Linked DNA regions of Danio rerio. The protein of the gene in region 1 interacts with the protein of each later gene in a pairwise test. Links are inferred from orthologs where the notes say so. Each region holds a gene or a part of one and is shown on either strand. Other genes may lie near its edges. The genes, in order: atpaf2, lzts2a and lrrfip2.

Region 1 (8,712 bases):
ACCGTACAAAAGAAGAAATTGCAAAACGAAAAATTTGAAAACTCATGGCTACCATCGACAAGGTTTGTTATCTGTATTTATGATGCTTGTAAATAATTTCCACTTTAGTATGGTGTTTTTTTCATTGTATAAACCTAATGTCTCTTCTACAGAATGATGCCATCTCAACTTGGAGAGCTTGCATTCTCAGAGCACTTTCTGTGTATCTTAATGAAGACTATTAAAACCTCATGAAGGAGTATACAGTAAGTATAGTTCTCAGTCAGTTAATATTTAAAATGCCATCACATGAATTCACATAATATAGTCAAGGAATATCAATACACAAAGTATATTTACCTTGGGGTTGTCAAAAGAACAGACTTCAGCACCAGTCTGCACTGAAATAAAAGATTGTTATGATGCTAGCATTTTTCTGGGGAAATCTTGAGCACAGTCGAGCAGATTCTCAAGCATATTTGTCTAGGCAGATTAAGGTGGCAATTATCAGTGTTGCCAATCACAGTCACATCTGTTGAGCACAATAACACTGGCCAATTGAATTTCTTTGAAGGAATGATGATTTCTGCACATTTTTTAAAATTCAGTACAGAAGCCTGTACTTTTGACCACCCTAACAAACACAGTAAAGTAGTTTTGTAAGTCACTGCAGGTGCGTGATGTGAAAGATTAAGGAATGGACAGTTGATACAAAATTCTTTAAATTTACAATCTGTATTTTTGATGTAATTAAACTGAACAGTGATACTGTTTTTGTGTTTTGTAGGTGACAGACTTTGAGAGAGACATGGCAAATACTGTCATTAAAATCTACATCGTTAAGCCTGAAGGTTTAGAAGTCTGTGACCCACCATCATTTGCTGGACTGATTTTTGAGGGAGTAAAAGTGCTTCAGAACCTTGGCGATGTCACCAAGGCTTGTTCTCTTTCTTTGAGAGTCAAATACAGCGTGAATCTCAGTTATCCTTCAGACCTGAAATACACTTTTGAGTTTTTCAGAAAGTGTTGCTGGGACTTGCACATAAACTGTCACACAAAATACAAGTTCTCAAAAACAAACTTGTTGGCTGAATCAGTACATCATTCTGGACGAATGAAAGAAATAGAGGAAGAAGCTTTTTTGAGACACTTAAATTGTTTCTAGTTTTAAAATTAAGGGCCAATTTTAAAGTTATCTATAACGATGGCACCAAAGTTTTAAATGGAGTTCTACATCTTTAAATGGTTATAATTGTTTGATTATTTACAAAGATTCAGATTTTCAGTTTTATTCTTTTCTTTGCTTTTTTTAAATTCTTATGCTGCTTGTCTTAAACTTTCCTTTTCTTGTTCAAAGTAAAATTTATTACTTGCAGTTGCACATATTGAAAGAACATTTTGGTCAATAGTAAAACTTCTTTTATAATTTTTTTTATGTTTATTTTTTTTAAACAAGCTGTTGTTTTGTGGTGGTTTTCATAAATAAAGGTCAGTTGTATACTTTAACAATATATTAAACCTTTTGAAATATCAGCAATTGAGCATTGTAGCATTTTGTGACACTGGAAAAAAATGTCAAATTACTTTTGTAAATTTGCTCTTATACATTTTTCTTCCAATATTTGAAGTAGCACATTGTAAGAATGTTCACTATTGACCAAATGTTGCTTTTGCATTTTTTTCTTTCTTTTTGTACTTTTATTTGAACTGTTTGAGAATGTTTACAAAAATAGAGGCCAGTTTTAATGTTACTCTCACTGTTGATTGTAAAGATCAGAAATGAATTTTAGCAGTATTTTAACATTCCATGTACAATATTTTTCAAAGTAAGATTATTTCAGATTCTTAAAGCCAGTTGCACTTTAAAAGACCCTGTAAATGTTAACTGAAAGCATCTGATGTTTTAGTGTGTTTGTTTCAAAGGAAATTGAAATTGTTTTATGGGTTTTTAGCAGTTGTATGTTGCAAAACATTGCAAAGAAAATAAATTCATTTTGTTTCTAAAAATATGTTTGATTATTTAAGTTTTACACTTGTAGAGCACATACATTAGAAGTGAAATATATATATATATATATATATATATATATATATATATATATATAAATAAAGTGTTCACCTTACATACTAAAAGTTCATAATTCTAACATAACATTACTAAGTAAAATATACATAAAACTAAAATGCAATAATGACACATCTAAATGGGTTGAATGTACTAAGAAATATTTTGTAAACTTTACCTGGATTTCTTTAGTTCATTTAACTATATTGTTACTTGTTGAAACTACTCAACACAGTTACGTGGAACCACTTGACACTCTTTTTTTATGTAAGTCCAACAAATCATTTTTTTGAGTGTGGAAGTTCCCCAGAAATGGGTTGCAACTGGTGCAAAAAAGTGCTGGATAAGTTGGTTGTGGCAATCCCGGATTAATAAAGGGATTAAGCAGACAAGAAAATGAATGAATGAATGTTTCTAACGTGTAGTACCATATTGTTTTAATGCGCACACCTAACACAACCCATAACCCTCACAGTGACGTCACTAGCTCTATTGAGTGCATTGTGTCTGAGACTGCATGTCTGAAACTACGTGTCTAAACGGGCATATCCAAGACTGTATCCAGATACTATTGGGAAAATAATTGATTCGACTTTTGTTCAAGTTTCAGATGTTTACTGTGTTCTCTTGCACAATAAACAGAGAAAGTAAATTTCCCCCCAAAAAACCCTCATTCATTCATTTTCTTTTTGGCTTAGTCCCTTTATTAATCTGGGGTCGCCACAGCTGAATGAAACGCCAACTTATCCAGCATATGTTTCACGCAATGGATGCCCTTCCAGCTGCAACCAATCAATGGGAAACATCTATACAAACTCATTCACACACATACACCTGGGACAATTTTAGCTTACCCAATTCACCTTTCCCAATTTGGTCTTGTGGGGGAAACCGGAGCATCCAGGAAACATGCGAACAAGGGGAGGAGAACATGCAAACTCCACACAAAACTTTCAACTCACAACACATGAACTAAACATACAGTAGGTCTATGTATATTGTAATGTGTTGTAGGCTACATGTATAGACTACTCTATAGATAAACTATAGACTTATGTTTCAATTTATATCTCTTATTTATTCATATATTGGTGAAATCTGTGATATTTCAAAAGAACAATATAATCCTTTTTAGATTCTTTAGTCTATTTCACTAATATATAGGCCAATATATATATATATATATATATATATATATATATATATATATATATATATATATATATATATATATATTCATTGTGGAATTAGTTAATGTTGATAATGAAATGTTTTTATCATGCTGAAGAACAGAGGACAATCAAACAAATCAGAAACACAACCAAAAGAGGGCGCTATGCTGTTCCTTAGATCAGTTCTGGTGCATTACCCTACTGCTGCCCCATCAACTCATGTGTGTCCCTGGAGGGTTTTTGTATACTTGAAATTAATGATTTTTATTTTATGTATTATTTTTCTTTTTATTTGATTTATTTATTTCTCTCTCTTTCTCTAGAATATATAAAATAAATTAAATAAGCAGAACAAACTGATAATAAACATGAAGATTTTAAAACAAGATATTATTTAATTCTTTTTGCATTTGTCTTGTACATAGTAGATAAATAATTAGGTAATAACTAAGTGTAATGTAAATGTCTGCTCTATAAATTGTGTAATTTTTTCCATGTTTTAACAAACCAACAAATTAATGAAAGAAAGAAAGAAAAAAACATATAAGATAGAGATAATAAAACTGAAGCAAAAGAAAGGTGAATAAACCAGTTTATAGTAGCAACATATAAATATTCACTAATATATTCATTTAAATATTCCAAAAAATGTATTTAAGAATAACATTTTTAACAAATATTTTAAGTTATTTAAAGCTATGTTAATTTTTAATATTTAGAGCAGGACTTTCCCGCCCAACTTTTAGATGCCACAAACATTTTAATATCATTGCCCCCACATTAAAACATAAACATTTTTGTTAAAAAAAATTAAGGAAGTTACCTGAAGTTAATGTTTTGAAAACTGAAATTTTTTATTATTATATTCTTATTTGTTTTATTTTATTTTGATATATAATTTATTGTTTTATTTTATTTAAATAAAATATAATAATGTATTGTATGCTATTAAATATTTAATAATCGTTTAATTATTATGCTGTTTTATCAATTTGTTTCTGTTTCTCTTTTATTTTGTATTATAATGTGTGCTTATTATTTAAAAACTATATAGAATTATTTTAATCTTTTTAATTATTCAATTGCTATTTTTAATTATTAAAATCAAAATATTTTAATAGGTATATCACTCTCTTTTGTCCCTGGTAACCCATTCTGAAAGTTTGGCGCTAAATGAATGTTCGAAATGTTGGACTTTTCTCATAGATATTTATATAGCTATGGACTTTTATTATGAATTATCCTCTATGCTTTTTCCTGTTTAGGTCATCGTCAGTCCACTTTACGGCACGCTGTTTTCACTTTGCTGCATGCCTTTAAATACCTTCTAGTGTATTTGCTTGAATAATTGAGTTTATCTCAGATATACTCATTTCTTGTAATTTATACGATTAAAACATGAAAAATGCATTGTCAAATTTAATATAACACCATATCCGGCTTTTTAACCTTGACTGAATGGCTTATCACGCCTAAACTGTGGCATCAATACAAATACAAATTTACACACATAACGTTTAAAATATGCTACGAAATATATGTCGGTATCACACAAAGTTTGGCCAGGCAATTATTTGGCCGTTTTCATTTTCTTACGTGAAGCATGTTCCCAGTTTATCAACACAGCTACAAAAGGCAAAATATAGCAGTGCTACAGCAGGTAAGATATAAAAAGAAAAAAATAACTTAAAATGATAAACAAATATATTAATATCTTTGTACTTGCATTGTGTTTTGCAGAGAGGAAAAAGTTCTACGAGACTGTATCTATAACTCAAGGTGAAGGTGAGCATCATTCAGTACTGATGGCCATAACAGCACCTTAAAAGAAACATGTTTTCAATGATGAAGATCGAGGGTTTGCTCATATGAAAACACAGATTTTCTTGTTTATAGGTGGCTTGTTTGAAATAAACCTTGATAAGAGAAAGCTGAAGACCCCAAGTGGAAAACTATTCACAGTTCCCAATGAAGCTCTTGCCATTGCTGTTGCAAATGAGTGGGACGTTCAAAAGGACACATTGAAGTTTTACACTATGCACTTGGTAGGATATTATTTTTAATTTATATTATATTATTATTATTATACTATATTTTGGTTTCCCAAGTACTACTAGTATATTTGAAAGTTTTATTCTACAACTGTCTACAGAGTACATTCAAATGTATCTATAATACATACATAGTAGCATGGAACACATATTTTTATACACTCTTCAGAACTGAAACTTACAGTATTACAAGTCTACAAGACTAGTACCTTTATTTATACCCAAAATCTGTACTTTTTTGGTGTTTTTTCTTTTTAATTTTCTGCTGCAGACGATTCCATTCAAGAACCCCCTAAAAAGTACAGATTTTAGGTATAAATAAAACTGAAAGCTTAGTTTTTTTTTAAATTCTATTTTAATCATTTAAAAATTCTATTCAGTTAAAGGGGTAGTTCAGCCAAAAATTATAATTTGGTCAACAACAATACTCTGGGACTTTCTTTCATCTTTGGAACACAGATTAAGATATTTTAGATGGAATCTGAGAGCTCACTCACCCTTCATATAGACAGCAATGTACTTTTGTGCACACTTAAAGAAAAAATACTTACTTCATTCAGCGGTTTATCACCTCATTAGTAGGCCCACACGGAATATGCGTGTACAGAAATCTGCAGATTTCCGCAGATCTTTAGCCCATCATTCGGTGTATTTACTGTATTCACTTGTTTAATTGTGTGTGAATTTATATTTATTTAGTTTTTTTTTTTTTATTAATTTCACTAATATTATTGTGTTATAATAATAGTACTATTAAAATGTTCATATGATTTATTAACAATACAGTTAGTAATGTAATATTTTCTGTCTTTTTGTAGGTATATGATGTATTGCTTTCTTTACCAAATAGGTGGATGCAATTGGATTTGCACTGTAAACATTAAATAAAATTAAAAAATGTGTTGTTTTTTATTTAATATATTAATGCTGTAGTTATGATACTCCTAAAATCAATCTCTGCAGAAATTGCAAAAAATGTCTGCATATTGTGTCTTTTCCTATTCATTCATCTATGTTTCCATCCACCTATTTTTATGGTAATTTTGCAATATGCGCATAGAAAACCGGTTGATGAAAACGCCAAGATGCACATTTCATTTTGAAAAAGCTTAATGTGACTTTTCATTTTCATAAGGTTCCTTTTACAGCATCGATGTTTTACACTATCGATGCATTGATGACAAAACATTCAGTTAAATAGATACAAGCATTCATTTAGTTGTTCAACCATAAAACAAGATGAAAGATTGTGTAACCGCTAGCGCCATCAGGATCAGCAGGCGAGCGCAGAAACTCCTATACTGGGGTGAAATTAATTGTTATATTTTAAAGATATGACGGGGGAATAGAATTTAACGCAGTGCTTTTTGTCTGAGACTCATATATCTATATCTATCAGGCAGTGAAGGTCACTGATTAAAAAACAAACAAAAAAACTGACCTCAAACATGGCAACTTTATAATGGAAAGACGGAGGCCCTGTTAGGCTGAAATTAAAAGATTGTGTGCATATACCCCATTCTAAATAGTTATCGGTTATTGTTGTCGGTCAAAAATTCCAAATCGGTTCCACCCTATTAATAACATAATTTTCATTTTGGGGTGAACTGACCTTTTATGTAGTTAAAGATATTTGCATTTGCTCCTAGTTTTTTTTATTTATTTATCTATTTTTTATATGTTATTATTTGCATGTGTCTTTTTTCTTCACCTGGTTGTCATTTTAGATGAGAATTGGTTCTCTTAATTGATTTACCTGGTTAAATAAAGATATTTATTATTAAATACTAATGGATAATGTATCTAAAACATTGTCACAAGTACATATAAAATCAGTGTGTGTATATTCTGATAGTACATTCATTCCCAGTATTCCCAACATTCATAATGTTAAATGAATAGCAGAATCTAATAGACTGATTTCTGTCCCTACAGACCACCCTTTGTAACACTGCTCTTGATAATCCAACACAAAGGACAAAAGAACAGATGATCTCTGCCGCTCTGAAGTTTTTAGAAACAGACACTATCTGGTATGCTCACTGATTAGGTATAGTATTTCATTTATGCATCAGCTGATGGTTTTAAGGTTTCATTACATCAATTGTACCTCGCTTTGCAGTTACAGAGTAGAAGAACCTCCAGGCCTTGTGGAACTTCAGACAAATGAATGGGACCCTGTGATGAACTGGATTGAACAAAGGTAAAATTGACAGATTTTTGGTCAGAGTTTTGATTGTGTAATAATTACAAAAAGTTACAATTTACTGGTATATAAGAACGTACTGTTGTTTTTAGGTACAATGTAGTCATTGGCTCGTCCTCCAATATAATGGGCCCTCAAATCCCAGAAGAGACTAAAGAGACATTTCATCAGCACCTTAATTCCTTCAACTTCTGGTCTCTGACAGGTACGTTGGTTCTTTGTATCTCATGTAAATGAGCTTGTTTACAATAGACTTTGTGTAAATCTTATGTGAATGTGCTTGATTTTTCCTCAGGGCTTGAGTTTGTGATCAATCAGCTGAAGTCGCTGGTTTTGTCCTTTGCGCTGATTGACAGACACCTAAATGTGGAAGAAGCGGTTCTGTTGTCCAGACTTGAGGAAGAATACCAGGTATTTTGATTAAATTACTTTTAAGATTGAGACCATATTGTTCCTGTGGTAATAATTACTATACATTGTGTTCTGTCTTAGATTCGGAGCTGGGGAAATGTGGAGTGGGTCCATGATTATGACATGTATGAGCTGCGAGCGCGAACGGCGGCTGGTGCATTGTTTGTGCATCTGTCATCTGAAAAAACATCTGTGAAGAAAAAAATCTTACAAGACTGATAATGCCAAAAATAGACTGTGTGGGTCTGAAACTTTGGGAATTGTTATCTGTTTTTGTTTTTACAGTGACACTAGTTATCTAACCAGTAGTTATGTTTTGAGAAATAATACAGATTTCTAAGGTCATGATATGTATTTATAGTGTCAACAGCTATCACATGGAAACACTGTAAATGCTAAAACCCAGTATTTCAAACTCAATTTCAAAGATGTAAATGTTTAAGCTGTATGTTGGGGAAAAGAAAGAAACATTTTAATAAATTACAAAGTACAAACATCTAATTGTGTCTACGACTTTTTTCCTACACAGTTACAAAATGAAATAGTCCTCCCAAAAATAGAGTGACCAGGCATTTCTTTTTATTCCTGAGATAGTACTAGATTTCTGCTCCATTTCTAGTTTTCCAATAAAAAAAAAAGATAAAAATTGTGCCTCATTTAACATTTCCGAAAATGGCCAATTGCTGAGCACTAGTAAAGTTGTCTGTCACATAAAAAATAACATAAATCAATTGCAGCCAAACATGTCATAGTTTATTTCACAATTCTGTATTGAAGAATGTGTAGTTAGTCAAGACAGGGCCTGTGCTGTCAGGCTAGTTCTGGTGT
Region 2 (8,712 bases), on another chromosome or scaffold:
ACAGCTAACATTTGACAAAGGACAGCTTCCAGAATCTCTCCCAGTTCAGTGCTGGAATCCAGTGGATTCGGCTAAAAACTCCTCCAACTGACGAAGCTGTGGATTGTGAGGCATAACCTAAGATTTTATTTGTTAAAATTGATCAGTTACATGCACAGTTTTTAGCGTTAATGGTATGTTGTAGCAAGGATGTAAACACTGATGTAAACAACGGGAAATGCTCTTTGGCACAGTTAACAATTTAGCTACAAATTCATATTTATCAGTAAAACTCCTTTAAACATCCACAATCTTCAGCAGCGTGTGCATTGTATCTTTATGCAGACGTTTTCCATGCATTATTTATCTCAAATAACAAACTCCCAAAAGATATGTAAACGTTTCATATTACTTACATTTGCTTAATTTGAATATATATGAAAGACACTTGTCAAATTATATTTTAGAGAGCATGAGGTTTGAGCGTGAGGTGTGCTTAGGTGTGTGCTCTTTATTTTCTGTCTGATTCAGGCAGCTAACAGCTTCACTGTTTACAGAGCGCTAACGCGCGTGATTGTAAAGGCATGACGTGGTGACCCGGAGCCGATTCGCCAATCACAGCACATTATGTTAGCTGACCAATCAGAGCCTCTTGAGAGCGGGCCTTTCGCAGAAACTAGGAAATATGACAGCTGTTTTCATGTTACCTGAGTAGCAGTATATAATCAAAGTAAGATATATGAAAAAATTATGTGATTTTCTACAAATAAAGCATGAGCACACATTGCTTTACATCTTATAAACACAACCAAACCTTAAAAATATGCTATGGACCACCCCTTTAAAAAATGATGTGCACATTCATTTAACCCATCCTGTGGTATAAAATCTAATGGAAATGCTTGAACACATTGATTCTTACAGCTGACCTTTTGGCTTATGTATTTGTAGGACTTTCTCTTGCAGATGCAAAATTTACAGCCGAGTATTTAAATAAATCATGCAGCATGACTTACTAAGGTTTGATGTAGCTAGCACATTTATCCACAAATGTTAAAATGATTAATCCCCCATTTTTGCTGCCTGTGTTTTGGTCTGATTATACAGTGCATCCGGAAAGTATTAATAGCGCTTCACTTTTTCCACATTTTTTGTTACAGCCTTATTCCAAAATGGATTAAATTCATTTATTTCCTCAAAATTCTGCACACAATACCCCATAATGACAATAAGTAATAATAACTTAATAACCTACAATAATCTGCATTTTAGCTTCTTACCGCTAAAGAAACTGAAAAAATAAAAACATACCTAAACATTTATTCAAATTTATTTGTAAATATTCAGAAATAAAACACACATTTTTTCTCTAGAGCAAACATTAAACACAAATAAAATGACCTTACCTTTCTCTAAACAATTTTAACTCAAATTAGGAAGATAGTCTAGCTTATTATACAAACAGAAATATAATAATTATAAAAATACAGAACATTTAACATGGCTTAAACTTTGCTGTTGTTTGCTACTAGATTGAGAATCACTAGCGATACCTTCAATTGACTTTTGAAAAAGAAACTCCTCATAGTCGCCTGTGGAGCTTTTTTATCAGCTAGTTGTTGTATTGTCAAGGGCAGCTCCTACAAATTTCCACTCTTTCAGTGTCAAAATATTCCCATATTACCGATGTCCTGTTTTTCTTTGATATTAATTTGTCTATTCATGCTTCTGAAGCAGCAGATGTCATCATCCTACTCGCCTGCACTTACCTGTTTGTTTTTTTATTGTGGGCGTTCCACATAGTTCCGTTGTGCAATTCTTATTGGGCAGAATGAAAGTAAGCTCACTAAATTGGCTAGTAAGACTGTCACACACAGACGGCAGTCACGCATTTGCTGTAGGCGGGAGAAATGAAATGATACGTATGTATTTCATATCGCAGCCTCTTGCGATTAGCCAATTGTAACATTTTAAACATTTCAAATAATCGCACAGCACTTGTGTCAAACATTGTAAAAAATTAACTGTTGCATTAATGTTCCTAATTTGACATAATATAAGTATTTCTGGGCTTAAAGTGATAGTTCATCCAAAATTTACTCATCTTTCACTTGTTCAAAATGTATTTGAGTTTCTTTTTTCTTTAAAAAAATAAGATATTTTGAAGAAAGCAGGAAACCTGTAACCATTGATGTCCATAGTTTTTCCTACCATAGAAATCAATTGTTACAGGTTTCCAGCCTTCTTCATAATATGTTATTTTGTGTTTAACTCAAAGGATCTATACCTTAGAGTGTTCATCTCAAACTCTGGCAACAATAATTTTCAAGGTATTTCATTTTGATTTGATTTGAATTGATTTATTCATTTTCGAAAATACATTTCAACATGGTCAAAAATGGAGCAAGATGAAGCACAAGCTTATTATTTTCCCACTCCATTACCACACATGTCATTCATCACTTAAACTTATTTCTTCTTTTACTTATCTCTTATTTTTACATGAGACACATTTAATCCTTTTGGCATCTTTGACATATTGTATGTTTGATTCTATTTGTACATTTACTTTTTATAACATAGACCCCCAAAAAATACATAGTACTGCAAATAGCCATTAATTTAAATTTCATCATACCTTTCTCATTTGATCCTTTTTCAATCACCTTCATCATTATATTCCTTTAATGATGTATAATTATACAAATTTTAAAATTGAGTAATATCCTGACATTGTTTGAAAATCTGTTCCAGAATGTTGCATAATTTCACACCACAAACAGACATACACAAACTTTTTAAAGTTGTCCTTGTTTTCAACCTCCTATTATGTTTTTCTCTCAGATTATATCCCCCTTGTCTTTCTTCAAAAAACTTTTGTATGCATTTAGGAAGTATTTTATTCCCAGCTTTAAACATTAATTGTGCTGTTTTAAATTCAACCAAATCATTGAACTTAAGTATTTTCAATTTAAAAAAATAAAGGATTTGTATGCTCCAAATACCCCACATTTTCTATCAGTCTAATTACTTTTTTCTGCATTGTACATAAGGATTGTAAGTAAATATATATTATATTGGGGAATATATATATATATATATATATATATATATATATATATATATATATATATATATATATATATTGGGGTATATGTATTCCCCCAAATTTCCACACAATAGCTCATATATGGCAACATAAGTGTGTTATATAATATATACATTGATATATTGTCCAGTATAAATCTTGCTTTTTACACTATTGCTACAGTTTTTACTATTTTTGATATTACATTATTTATTTGCGGTTTCCGCAACTAATTTTATGATCCAATATAAAACCAACAAACATAATTGCATAATCTCTATACTTAAATACTTTATTATCAATTTGGAAATCTATATTATGTCTACTTTTTAATTTCCCAGATAACAAAACCTTTTGTTTTACTTATATTTAATGACAATTTGTTTACGTCAAACCACAATTTCAATTTATTAATTTGTTTTAATCAACTCCATAAATTTTGGTAAATTATGCCCAGAACAAAATGATACTTGTATCATCTGCAAATAAAATAAGCTTAAACAACTCTGAAATCTTACACATATTATTAATGTAAATTATAAACAATATTGGACCTAAAACTGATCTTTGTGGTATGCCACACTTTGCATTTAAATATGATGATTTATGGTTGCCAATTTCCACAAACTGTTGCCTATTTTTTAAATAACTAATTATCCAATCCAAGGCTACTCCTCTAATACCATACCATACCATCATTTAAAGATGTGACATAAAGACAAATAAACCACAACCTGTCCTGATAAGGGAAATTTTCAGAAATGACTCTAAAGGACCTTAAACTTATTACACAACTGTCAAGAAGACAACAGAAGGCATATAGTCAATTGTACACTAGAGTTATCCAACAAAGTTTTGATTACACTGACAATTTAGAACCCTTCAAATCTTCTTATCAAATATGATACAGCCTGCCCAGTAAGTTTAAAGTAGCCACTGAATGTCAGACTTAAAAACTGCACAGCAGTCGTCCATTTTCCACAGACACTGTCGTGGTCAGAGATGAAGAACAGCAAAAGGTAGAAGAAAGACAAGGGGAAAAAAGGGAGCAAGTATGAGGAGGGATTAAATGTGTGTGAGGATGGGGGTGGTGGAGGAGGAAGGGGCCACAGACAAAGTGCGAATGGGAGGAGGGTAGCAGGAGAAGGGGGCGGTGCTGGCGGCAAACAGCAGAGGACGGGACACAGAGGAAGGGGGTTTCTGCCAGAGAAAAGAGAGCAAACTTTGGCATGAGGAGGAGGAGCACGGAGAATGAGCATGTAGGAGAGAAGCAAAGTGATACAGAGAGGAGAAGCAGCAGAAGTACAGTGAACTGACTGGGATTGTACCTCCAGGACAGGCTGGGGAGACGCGAGGAGGCAGCCATGCAGAGCACTATGGGTATGTCAGCAACACCACTGGATTTATTGCAGCCTGCGAATGCACGAGAGTTCAGATTACCACTGCAGCTCACGGGAGCTTTGAAGTGATGTGAAATGAATGATTAACTTTCTTAAAGCTGATAGGGTTTGGGGTGAGAAGACGCTCTTTGAAGTTTTAGCAGCACTGTTAGTGCTTTCTGCTGTGCGAGAATGTTAATGATACTGTGTTATTTTGGGGGCTGAGTAAGTTGGGCTTTTGTTTTGATTTATCAGAGATACAAAGATACAATAGTGAACTCTGTTGTGCTTCATTTAAGTTTGTCACCAGATGTCTCCTTTAAAATGTTTGAAGTAATGAAGACAAAATTAAGACAGTAAGACTGTTACAAACGTTGGTATCTTGTCAAATATTGTGCTCTTTTCTGGTTCTCCAGAGAGAGACATGTGAGATTCCCACAGGAAAACCATATAAGCAGCATGAGGCGTAAACAAAAGTCTCAGTTTACTCTCATTTTAACATCACTGTCCTCTAGAAGACATAAATGAGACGTCTTTTGTGTTTTTTGTCACCTATAGGTATTTATATCTGCTGTAAAGAGTGTTTGTTGAGCTTGTTAAGTTTTTGTGGCTGGTTTGTTTGTTTGAAAGCAGGGCCTTGCGAGTGGATTGATTTACAGGAGTCAACTAAGCGGTTTGGTTTTGTTTTGTGGAGACCATTTTGTGGAAATTCAATGTTTTGAAACTACACTTCAGGTTCATATATACTAAAACATTTTTTACAATTCTTTTAGGAGTAAAAAAAATAGAACTTTAAATTCAAAATAGCTTGGCGCTATTTTTCCTCTTTCCTAAAATTTGTTGAAATTATTCAAACAAATGTACAGAAATCATCTGATAATACTGATGTGAAAGTGTCCCCAGTCAATCACAGCAAAGTTTATATAGAGAAAAGGTGTCAGTGTTGCTCATTAATATTTTCAGTATCTACAGTAACTTTCAGAACATCAGTATCTACTAGAGCTGGGTGATATTGCAAAACATATTATCACAATATCATGTTTCATATCATCTGATATTGACAATTATCTTACAAAATACATTTAGGAATATTAGATTTTTTTTTAAACCATTTTATTTTAATTTGCCAACATTACTAAGGCAAATATGTTCAATAGTCAAAAACAAAAATATTTAAACAAAATTTCTGATCTCTTTATAATAAAATAAATAAGTGTTAAAGAGACTCCTAAACTTGATGAATAAAATGCTACAAAGTGTGTGCAATGATAAAGGTAGAACAACATCTGTAAGATGTCAATAATAATGATGCAGTAAAACTCAAATTATTTAAATACATATTATAACAATACAAATTGTTAAATACTTAAATGGCTACATTACCCCTACGCTAAAACATGTCTCAGATGGGGAGCTAGTGGCTAGGATGCACAAGAAAAGAAACCAAAAAGCCACTCTGGCGACATCTTTACATCTTTTATTGTTTATAATCTCCTCAATGCTGCTATATGGCACTCATTTTCGCATGTGTTGTTATTCTAACCTTAAGTAACAAGTGCACGCGCATGGTTTCTGGAATTGGTTCCAATTGGAATCTGGAATGGTTGCAGAAAAACCATTGCTGCAACAAGTTTATGGAGAAAAGTAAAAAGCACTGCAGTGTTTGGCTGCGCTGTGTTTGTCTGAGGTAATTAGTCTGCCGTTATTACTGAAATGTGTATATTCCATACAAAGTGTGAGGCAGATTGGTTAATTCTACTAGCATGAATGGCGGTGTGCTCTCAGCATTCAGAAAAGTTCAAATGTTTTTAACTACTGTAGATGCGGCTCAAAAATGTGCACGGTTCACATGTGTATGTGTGCACCACCTGCACAACATGGGCGCGTCGCTCAAGTCGCGCGACTTCATTGGAAATGACAAACTTTCACCCTAAACTTATTGGCACTGTTTCCAAGGCACACGTTCATCAGCCACTTTTAATAAAACTATAGTGCTTTATACCGGAACTAAATAATTCTAAATCGTTTTTTTATCGATATTGACAATGGTGGTTCCGTCAATAAATATCGATATCAATTTTATCGCCCAGCCCTAGTATCCACTATAAAACTGCTCTTTAGTGCTTGATTTTACTTGTGTTTGTCTGACAATGATGGATTAAACAGAGGAAATTAAATTCAGAGTAGTGTTAAAGCCACACCTACCTAGGTGGGTTGAAGGTCTTTACCAGCTGATGCAAACTTCTGTACATGGGAACGTCTCCCATATACAAAATTACTGAAAACAACTTTTCAGTAAAGAGTTCCAAAAGGAATCATTTATGTGTGTGTGAAATGCCTTTACTGTACTGTTAAAAACCATTTCCGCTAAAAAGAACCTTATGTTGACGATGTAAACAATGTTTAATGGAAGCATCAATGCCAATGAATTGTCTTTTTGATCTACTTTTTAGATCTTTGGACTAAAAATATTTCTTCTATGGGATCACTGTGAAACTCTCTATTAGGCGACTTTATGTTTATTGCAAATATTTAGTATATTTTTGCTTTTTTGTGACCATAAATTAAAAAGTAACATGACTTCTCAAAAACTGGCCCAGATTGGAACGTCCGGTGTCCAGAATACACACATACACACTCCAATCACTCTTCGCTCAGTGCTTACATAAAGCTTCTTCAAACTAGTCAAACACCACTAAGCTTCTTGCACAGCATGATACCTGATCTATTGACATTTTGTTTTCGAATGGGATGAAGTTTTGAATGAACCCCCCCATCCCCCCACCACCCAAGTATATTAAGATTCCCGTTTGTGTTTAAAGTGGATGTGACTCAGCTCATGGCACATTCTTATACAGTAAAAGCCTGAAATAGAGTGGCCTGTTACTGCGTGTCAGCAGCGTCCAGACTCTGCTCCGGATGAGATCACCTAGGGGGGTGGAAAGGTGCTTGCGTCAGTGAGTCGGAAAATAATAGATGAGTTAAATCACTCTCATATGTTAGAGGGCTCTGAAATACAGCGTTAGTAAATGTGGTCAGCGCACTGTCTTCGTAAGGACACTACGTGCCCCGCCGGCTAGCCTTGTCTCACAGGTTTAAGGTCTCTAAAACACCTCGTTCTATCATTTTTACTGTTTCCATTTATGAGAAGCCTTTATACGCCAAGTGTTTATGTAAGACTGTAGCTTCCTGCAGACGTATATACAGAGGGAGAGCTCATTAACGTCGAGTCAGTCTCTGCTAACTGCACTGAATCACAGCTTTCCATGCCACTCTTTTTGCTCCCTGTCTGAGCTCGGCTGGAATCTGTCGGGATGGTGTCTCTATATGTCCACATCCTCTTGTGGCTGGTCCCCCTGTGGCATGTTTGCAAGTTTTCACGAGCAGCTTCAAGGTTGTCTTTTTTCTGTTTGTGGCTCCTGCGTGGTTCACCATCTCTGCAATTTTGTGATGAATTACATATTCATGCTGGCATAGTTTGTCTGAGGCCGCTGGTTATGTAAGCGCTGGTGTGGAATTAATTTAGCAGTATGTGCGTTGTGCCACTTTTTTTCCCCCGACTGCAGTGCATATCTGCACTGTGATTTCAGTTTGATCATGAGACTGATGATTATGGCTTGTCAGAAACACCGCAAGATTATTTATTTGCCTCTTTATGCTGATGCTTGGTTCAGAAAGCATCGACAGGAGGCGAAGAAGCCATTTTGAGAAGATCAATGGCCAAAGCTAGTAAAGAGCTACTTTAGCTGGAAGAATTTACAGAGGCTGCACTTAAAAACATATACATGGTCTTTTTAAAGTGAGTAACCAGCTTTGCAAAACACAGTTAATGTTCTACGTTACTCATTTTGTCCTTTAAGAAATATATCATTCAAATTATTAGTTAAGAATTGTAATTTGTGGTTCTCAGTAGTTGAAATCAATCATCAAATTCAGATAGAATGTTTGACCTGCCGACCCATCTATGTATCTGGCTTAAGGCTGATTTATACTTCTGCGTCAAGCGGTAGCCCTCTGTAGCCCTCGCCGTGGCCGTCGCTGACGCGCACTTTTTAAAAAATGTAACAACACATTGCAACAATACATAGCGCAAGCTCTGTGATTGATCTGATTGGTAACGCTGATGACAGTGGGTGGGATCAAGAGCAACGCGAACCTGTTGGAGTGAGTGTTTACAAGTGTCGAGTCAGTGAAGGAGCTCCAGATGTAAAGTTTTGTTTTGTGTTTACTTTATGATTTAAGTTATGGCATGTCTGCCGGTTCCCG
Region 3 (8,612 bases), on another chromosome or scaffold:
TTTTTGCATTTGTATACAGTTTGCCGATTGACCATTGTGTTCACATGCTCATCAGATGTGACTGTGATTGGCTCTAATGATCATCTCTTTACAATTGAGCTTAGATGGACACTTAAATGTTTAAAACGCACAAACAGCTGATTAATTAGTGGATTGACAGCATTCAAACAATGACAGACACAATTTTCAAACACTCCAGTGCCTGATGATATTTTTGTCCCTTCACAATATGTATATGTGTGTCAAATTTAAAAATGAATAACTTTTTAAATTTAAAAATCTTGCATTTCCTCATATTTTACCACTGAATTTTGGTCTGAGTCCATATGCATCACTAGCAGATAACAGTTGCTCGCTCTCCTGCTTTGCCCCCTCCACTTTGCTTTTTTCTATTACAAATTCTGTTGTAGCCTTGCATTAAAAGAGGGGGGTTCATGAACCTTTGAATATCAAAAAACAGCTGTACTAAAATTTTCTGGACTCATGAATCACACTTACAGTTGAAGTCAGAATTGTTGGCCCCCCTGAATTATGTATATTTTTTCCCTCAATTTGTTATTGTTTAACGGAAAAAAAAAGATTTTTTCAATACATCTTTACAATTATTACTTCTCTAAATATAATAGTTTAAATAACTAGTTTCTACTAACTTTTTGAAAATATATAATATTATATATAATAAATTATTTATCTTTGCCATGATGACAGTACATAATATTTTAATAAACATTTTTCAAGAACCTAGTATTCAGCTTAAAGTGACATTTAAAGGCTTAATTAGGTTAACTAGGCAGGTTAGGGTAATTAAACAAGTCATTGTATAACGATGGTTTGTTTTGTAGACAATCTAAAACAATATTGCTTAAAGGGGCTAATAATATTGAACTTAAAATGATTTTAAAAATCTTAAACAGCTTTTATTCTAGCCAAAATAAAACAAATAAGTCTCTCTCAAGAAAAAAAATGTTATAGGAAATAGTGTGAAAATGTCCTTGCTCTGTTAAACATCATTTGGAAAATATTTTAAAAAAGATAAATAATTTTGACTGTATATACATCTTAACATTTATTATGTTTTCAGGTCGTTAAACTGCTTTTATTCATTGTTTCATGCTGTATCCTCCAGCCGTCCTCCCGATGTGCTACACCGGCTCTCTCTGCTGCTGCTCTGGCGTCATTAGGAGGCAGCTCTTCCAGAAGAGGCAGTGGAGATGCTGGAAGTGTCATTATGGATTCAGAGGCCTCTATTAGCGAATTAAGGGTAATTACACCACATTTATTGACTTTCACTGCAAAAATGCTTTTCTTACTTTGAGTTTTTGTCTTGTTTCTAGTGCAAATATATGAGCTTTCTTAAATCAATAAGTCTATATTATAAGTCTATATTATAAGTCTATATTATAAGTCTAATTAAGTTAAAATAGTCTTGTTTTTTGTTATTTTACTTACCCCACTGGCTTATTATTTAACTTGCTTAAGGAAAAACTCACATAATTTTGGCTTATTTCTGAAAACAAAAAATTTTTTTTTTTTACTTGTCTAGAAAATTCTTTTTGATTTTAGGATTTATGCTTTAGATATTTGTGCAAGAAACAAGACAAACTCTAAGAAAAGCTTTTTTCTAATGTTGCTGCTTTACAGATTAAACATAAACTCTCTGTAATATGGATTGTTTATGCAGTTCTTAAAACAAGATGAATCTACCTGCCTTTTGAATATATTTTGGCTGAACATCGAGCTTCAAACTTTCCTATTAAATGCATACGATCTCAGAGTATCCATTTGTGTTCATTTCACAGTATTATTTGTGTTTGTTTTTATTTATTTTTTTATTTGTCTTTATTTAAATTCTTTCCTCTTTGTGTTTGAATGCCTTCGGACAGCTCTCTCTCCCTCTTTATGTTTGTTCAAAAATGTATGATAAGAGGTCACCGCTCTGACCTTTAGCGAATGCCAAACTTTTCCCATGATTCATTCCTCCATCTCAACAGGACATCTATGATCTAAAGGACCAGATTCAGGATGTAGAGGGCCGATACATGCAGGGTCTTAAAGAGCTAAAGGTAGAGGGTCCTGAGCTCAATGCATGCCTTCCCTCTTCCTCCACTAACACACGAGGCTCTTAGCACTCTTTAGTCTTGCATGAGTCTTGCATGAGTCTTTCACTTACTACATTAGCTCTTTACAGTCACGTTTAGCCCTCTGTTGTGTTGCCTAAAGAGATCATTTCTCCAAAGAGCCAAAGTCACATGGACATATTTTGTCTCGCACCCAACCTCTCCTAAAGAAGATGGAGAATGCAGACACACGATTTTGACCAGAACGTTTCAGATGCAACTGTGTAAAGAATTTTTGTGTTTGTGCAGTTTATATTGGGATGCTGGAGATCACTTTGATAATAATACAGACATAACAAGACATCTTAAAGAAAGAAAGAAAGAAAGAAAGAAAGAAAGGATGGAAGAAAGGATGGAAGAAAAAGAAAGAAAGAAAGAAAGAAAGAGTTGAATAAAGAAAGTTGAATAACAAAAGAATGAGTTTGATAAAGGAAGAATCAGTTGAATAAAGAAAGTTGAATAAAGAAAGAAAGTAAGAGTTAAATAAAGAAAAAAAGTTGAATAAAGAAAGAAAGAGTTGAAGAAAAAATTAAAGCAGTTGAATGAAGAAAGAAAGAGTTGAAAAAGTATAGAAATAGTCTAAGGAGAAAAAGAGTTAAATAACGGAAGAAAAAGAAGAATAAAGAAAGAATAAGTTTAAGAAAGAAAGAAATAGTTGAATGAAGAAAGAAAGAGTTGAATAAATACTTGAATAAAGAACAAAAGTTGAAGAAAGAAAGTTGGATAACGAAAGAGAGTTGAATAAAGAAAGAAATAGTCTAAGGAAAGAAAGAGTTAAACAACAAAAGAAAGTTGAATAAAGAAAAATTTGAATAAAGAAAGAAATAGTTGAATAAAGAGAATGAGTTCAAGGAAAGAAAGTTGAATAACGAAAGAGTTGAATAAAGAAAGAAATAGTCAAAGGAAAGAAAGAGTTCATTAACAAAAGAAAGTTGAATAAAGAAAGAAAGAGTTGAATAAAAAAAGAATGAGTCGAATAAAGAAAGTTTAATAAAGAAAGCAATAGTTTAAAAAAGAAAGATTTAAATGAAGAAAGAGTTGAATAAAGAAAGGAGTTGAAATAAATAGTTGAATAAAGAAAGAAATAGTTGAAGAAAGATTTGATTGAGGAAAGAAAGAGTTAAATAAAGAGAAATAGTTGAAAAGTTGAAAAAAGAAAGAATTAGTTGAATAAATAAAGAGTTTACTAAACAAAGAAAGGGTTAATGAAAGATAGTTGAATAAAGAAATAAATTAGTTGAAGAAAGGAAAAGTTGAATAAAGAAAGAAAGATAGTGGAATAAAGAAATAATGATTTTAATAAAGAATTAGTTGAATAAAAAAGGAAGAGTTGAATAAAGAGAGAGTTGAATAACGGGAAATAAAGAAAGAGTTGAATAACGGGAAGTAAAGAGAGTTGAATAAAGAAAGTAGTTGGAAAAAGAAAGGAAGAGTTGAAGAAAGAGAGTTGAACAGCGAAAGAAAGTTGAAAAAAGAAAGAAAGTTAAATCATGAAAGAGTTGAATAACGAGAAATAAAGAGAGTTGAATAAAGAAATACAGGAGTTGAATAAATAAAGATTAAGTTGAATAAATAAAGTTTAATAAAGAAAGAGTTGAATCAAGAAAAAATAGTTAAAGAAAGGAAAAGTTAAAGAGCGTAGAAGAGTTATGAACTAGGGCTGCACAATCATTCTTTTCAGCATCGATATCGCAATGTGATCATTCACAATAGTCACATCGCAAGAAATGCAATGTTTATTTTGTGTTGAAATGTATCATTGGCATGTGTTTTGATGCCTGTGAGTGTATAATTATTTAAAAAAAACATTCAGGTATAAGAAACTACCATTTGTCACCTTAACTGCTATTTATTTTATTGAATTATTCTTATTTTTTAACATACAGTGTACTGTACTCTTATACTGTTAGACTCGGGAAATAATAAAACACTTTATTTCAATCTTTTTCTTGACTGTATTTATAGATTGATATACATGAAAATACAGAAATGCACTGCAAATAGCACAGACCACAACGAAAACGTGTTGGGGGACTTAAAGAAGTTTATAGATTGTTAATTAGATTTTATGTAGATGCACTCCCACTGCAGAATCATCCCAATCAATCTAACATTATAAATTCTTTCCAAATAGAGATATTTAGTCATATTGCGAAATTGCATTTACATCGCAATATATATCACAAAATTAAAAAAATCACAATGTTAGATTTTTCCAATATCTTGCAGCCCTAATAAGAACGCAAATGTTAGTGTTTTATGTCCAAAAAATAAATTCTTTCGAAGCAAGAGTGAATTAAATTGGTCAAAAAGTGAAAGTAAAGACTGTTATAACGTTATGAAAAAAGTAGAACTCTATTCACCAAGACACTATCTAATAAGCATCATAATCTACATATAAATATTATGCTGTGTTAAGTATAATATAGCATGTTCCCCCGTGTTGGTGTGTGTTTCCTCCGGGTGCTCCTGTTTCCCTCGTAGTCCAAAGACATGCTCTATAGGTGAACTGAATAAGCTGAAATTGCTGTAGTGTATGAGTGTGAATAAGCGTGAATGGATGTTTCCCAGTACTGGGTCGCTGCTGGAAGGGCATCCGCTGCTTAAAACATATGCTGGAGAAAGTTGGCAGTTCATTCCTCTGTGGCAACCACTGATGAATAAAGGAACTAAGCCGAAGGAAAATTAATACATGAATTAAGTATAATATAGTATATAATATAATATAGTATAATAAGAAGAAATGTTTCTAGAGCTCAGGTTATCAATCCTCATGTCATCAATCATAAGACTTGAGAAAAATGGTCACCGGGGGATAGTTTAAAGGGGAAAATGGCATCAACACACAACCCTCCTTATTTTATCCATCCTAGCCTTGCTCCCATGTGTTAGACCTTAAGTGTCAGTATATGTAATGAATATATAAGCTTGCCTTGACTTTATGTAAATCATTTAATATATGGTTCAAGAGAAAATAAAAACAGGTCACTGTTAAAGCTTGAAAATCACTATGCTAGAGCACCAAATTAAGTGAAGGTCGCTCAACAATCACAAGAAAAATTATATATATATACTGTATTTAATAGAAGTTATTTCAAGCTACAATGGTATTTACTTTTTTTCCCTGGTTTTCATTAAATAAATTTAGCTTCGAGAAATCTCCTTCAGAATCTTATCAACCTCAACCTTTGAACGATAATGTACAGAACAGGTGATTGGAGCAAAGGAACTGTACAGGAGGAGCAAGTTATTTCCTATTTAGAAGGAATCACACAGACAAGCCTTATTTTATAAAAGCACACTAAGACCAGGAACGTATATTAGCCGAGTCGATGTATGTTATGTTGACTTTAAAAATGTCTGTATTTTTTGATGGATTACACTTTTACTTTTACCTGCACTACACAGTTTTATCTAATCTTTAATGCAGTGGTCAGTGTGTGTTTTGTTTTGTTTTTGTTTTTGCCTGTCGAGTCTTGTAGTGATTTTGTAGCATATTAAGCTCTTCCAGTGCTTTTCACAGTAAGGATATTTCCTCTGCTTTCATCAGGAATCTCTGTCAGAAGTGGAGGAGAAGTACAAGAAGGCCATGGTTTCCAATGCCCAGTTAGACAATGAAAAAGCAAACCTCATATATCAAGTGGACACGCTCAAGGATGTCATTGAGGAGATGGAAGAGCAAATGTCCGAACTGCGCAGGGAAACGGAGGACAAATCAAAGGTGCCTGTGTTATATGTGTACAGTATTATGAAAAAATTATTCGTTTTGAGACGATTAATCCAATAAATATAGAATTGTGATCAGGGCTTGACAGTAACTTTTCTTATCACTAGCCACAATGTGTTGTTGGCAAAATATAATTTGTATGCATAAATATGACTTTGGCATGCTAAAATTACTTGGTTTAGAGTTTGTGGAATATCCACATGCCTCCTAATTCATGTTATTTTTTGTGTATGTTGTGTATGAGCTTGCTCAGTGAGCATGAGCACATTACAAATAGTTTTTATTTCACATGACTTTTCAGAGCTCAAAGGATTTACCAAATTTATCTCTATAACCATTTTTAAAATAAATAAATATTTATTTCTTAGCCACATATTTTAAATAAGCAAAATATAGCTGTATACTATACTACACATATATGGGAAGTTAATATCCTATATCCTGTTTAAATAATAGTTCAATCGAAAGCAACTGGTGCTGCTTACAAAAAGGAGCTCTTGAAAGCAGCAGGACTGTGGGTGCATGAGCATAACTTTTTGTCTAGTCTATCTGAAAGAGAATCGATAGTTGAGTTGCATTTCCAGGCACGGTTGTTTCAAGCAAGGAAACAGGAGCGCACACATGTTTTAAACAGCACATCAGCTGTTGGCGCGAGTGATTATCCTCTCATTCAGTATTCAACCGGCTTTCTTTTGCCCACACAAACAAAATTATAGTTTTCAATCATGCTGCTTCTCAATTCTAAGATCCCATTTGCACGAATATTGGGTCATCCTTATTGTCGAACCCTGCTTTTAAGAAAGCTACTATTTAAAATGAATTTTCAACCAACCAAAGTGGCTAGTGGAGGTGTCTGTCTAACCCGCCAAAGCTAAAATCTACCCGCATTTGGCGGGTGTTAGTGTAAAGCCCTGATTGTATGATCTGTTATTACCACAGTGCATAGACCCAACTGTTCAAAAATGCAATGAAAGTTCTGATGTACAGTGGGAGAAATAAGTATTGAACACGTCATGTTTTTGTCCTGGGTATAATTTCTAAAGGAGCTGTTGACACAGGATTGAACCAGATTTTGGTAAAAACCCAAACAATACAAACATAAAAATAAAACAAAACAAAAAATTCTAAAAAAAAATGAGTGTATATAATAATGAAATGACTCAAGGAGAAAGTACTGAACTACTGAAATGTATTTAATACTTTATATAAAAGGCTTTTTTTTTTTTTGATGATGATGGCAGTTTAAAAATGTGAATGAAGTCACATGAATTACTCAAGTGTGAGTTTTTTTTTTACAGACTTCCACAGAGTGTAAAAATCTTAATAGTTCTGTGGGTCTTTTTCTCTCAAATCTGAGCTTTATTTTGTCTTTTTCTATTGGATTTAAGTCAGTTGATTGGGTGGGCCTTTCTATCGCTCGATTTTCTTTCTTTGAAAGCATATGAGAGTTTTCTTGGCTCTGTTTTGGATCATTGTCTCGCTGAAATGTTCATCCTGGTTTCATCTTCATCATCCTGATAATGTAGATGTTGGACTGAAGCAGATGATATTCATTTACAATGACGAAGGGCAGAGGGTTGCTGAAGAAGTATTGAGAGATTCACTGCCTTTCTACACCTTCCTTTCTTTATGTGTTCAGTACTTTTTCCCTGCGTCGTTTCATTTTATTACACATAACTTGATTTGTAAACTAATTAGTTTTGTTTTCTTTGCGTATATGGATTTCTTTGGCTGTAACCAACATCTGGTGAAAATTTCACGTCAGCGGCACCTTTTGGAAATATGTTTTCTGAGAAAAATGTTGAAATGTTCCATACTTATTTCCCCCACTGTATTTAATACATGTTGGAAGCTTTGCCAGATTAGGATGTGAATATTTTTTGTTCTTGTGATCGACAGGAGTTAGAGCGACAGAAGCACACATGTACAGTCCTACAGCACAAACAAGAGGAGCTGAAAGAGGGCATTCGTCAGCGAGATGAACTCATTGAGGTAAAGCCAGAACAGAAGTTATATTATCGACCCACCAGAAAAATTTACATTAGACTCTCTGATTTAAAAGCTTTTGCTGAATAATCAAGTTAAAGATGATTCAGAATCATCGTTGTGATTGAAAGTGCTGTTTGTTTCATTCTTCATGGATGAAGTTCATAATCTTTATAAAATTCACTTTCGCCCAGTGAGATCCTCCTGTTTTCTCCCTTCACATGTCCCTGTATGTTCCTTTATTTCTTCTTTGTTGTGTCTTTTAAATCTCTGCTCTTTGTTTTCATCTTCTGCTTTATTAAACGCAAACCCCAGGAGAACCAGAAAATTCAGCAAAAGCTAGATACCCTCACGAGAGAGGTGTTTGACCTCCAGGAAACTGTTAACTGGAAGGACAAAAAGATTGGGGTAGGATGGAGAATGAGATGCTGTTTGGATTGAGGGTGGAAACACTTTAACTGTTTATGCATCTCTTTGTCATCCATTTAATTTTGCCAAGCCAGTCTGATTTCTTTACAAACAGTGAGTATTTTTACATGGACACTAATTATCCGATTTTAATGCAATTTAAGGCAATACTCTGATTAAGATTTTGCCATGTAAACAGCGATTTTTGGTTAATTTAATTTGATTAAGATCATAATCAAACTAAATAGAAATGGAATTAAGACATGTTGAGTATGCAAATTTTAGTTGCATTATTGGATTGCGGTACAGACATGTAGACACCGCAATCAAACTATTACCGTCATGTAGGACTTTTCGACACATATTGCGACAGG

The links.
Region 2: the proteins of atpaf2 (region 1) and lzts2a interact in binary tests that used the Homo sapiens proteins (3 or more experiments, as listed by UniProt). The two-hybrid records come from large-scale screens. The link is inferred for Danio rerio from reciprocal best matches to the Homo sapiens genes ATPAF2 and LZTS2.
Region 3: the proteins of atpaf2 (region 1) and lrrfip2 interact in binary tests that used the Homo sapiens proteins (3 or more experiments, as listed by UniProt). The two-hybrid records come from large-scale screens. The link is inferred for Danio rerio from reciprocal best matches to the Homo sapiens genes ATPAF2 and LRRFIP2.

What each region holds. Positions count from the first base shown.
Region 1 is NC_133187.1:20,033,372-20,042,083, reverse strand, and holds atpaf2 (ATP synthase mitochondrial F1 complex assembly factor 2), read left to right. Parts: upstream 1-4,496; 5' UTR 4,497-4,740; coding exon 4,741-4,876; intron 4,877-4,956; coding exon 4,957-5,001; intron 5,002-5,112; coding exon 5,113-5,261; intron 5,262-7,202; coding exon 7,203-7,300; intron 7,301-7,389; coding exon 7,390-7,470; intron 7,471-7,565; coding exon 7,566-7,678; intron 7,679-7,768; coding exon 7,769-7,884; intron 7,885-7,965; coding exon 7,966-8,103; 3' UTR 8,104-8,385; downstream 8,386-8,712. UniProt on the Homo sapiens protein: Plays a role in the assembly of the F1 component of the mitochondrial ATP synthase (ATPase).
Region 2 is NC_133188.1:20,793,280-20,801,991, reverse strand, and holds the start of lzts2a (leucine zipper putative tumor suppressor 2a), read left to right. Parts: upstream 1-4,285; 5' UTR 4,286-4,447; intron 4,448-8,712. UniProt on the Homo sapiens protein: Negative regulator of katanin-mediated microtubule severing and release from the centrosome. Required for central spindle formation and the completion of cytokinesis.
Region 3 is NC_133188.1:46,211,281-46,219,892, reverse strand, and holds part of lrrfip2 (leucine-rich repeat flightless-interacting protein 2), read left to right. Parts: intron 1-1,126; coding exon 1,127-1,261; intron 1,262-1,991; coding exon 1,992-2,063; intron 2,064-5,667; coding exon 5,668-5,838; intron 5,839-7,743; coding exon 7,744-7,836; intron 7,837-8,145; coding exon of another isoform or gene 8,146-8,238; intron 8,239-8,612. UniProt on the Homo sapiens protein: May function as activator of the canonical Wnt signaling pathway, in association with DVL3, upstream of CTNNB1/beta-catenin.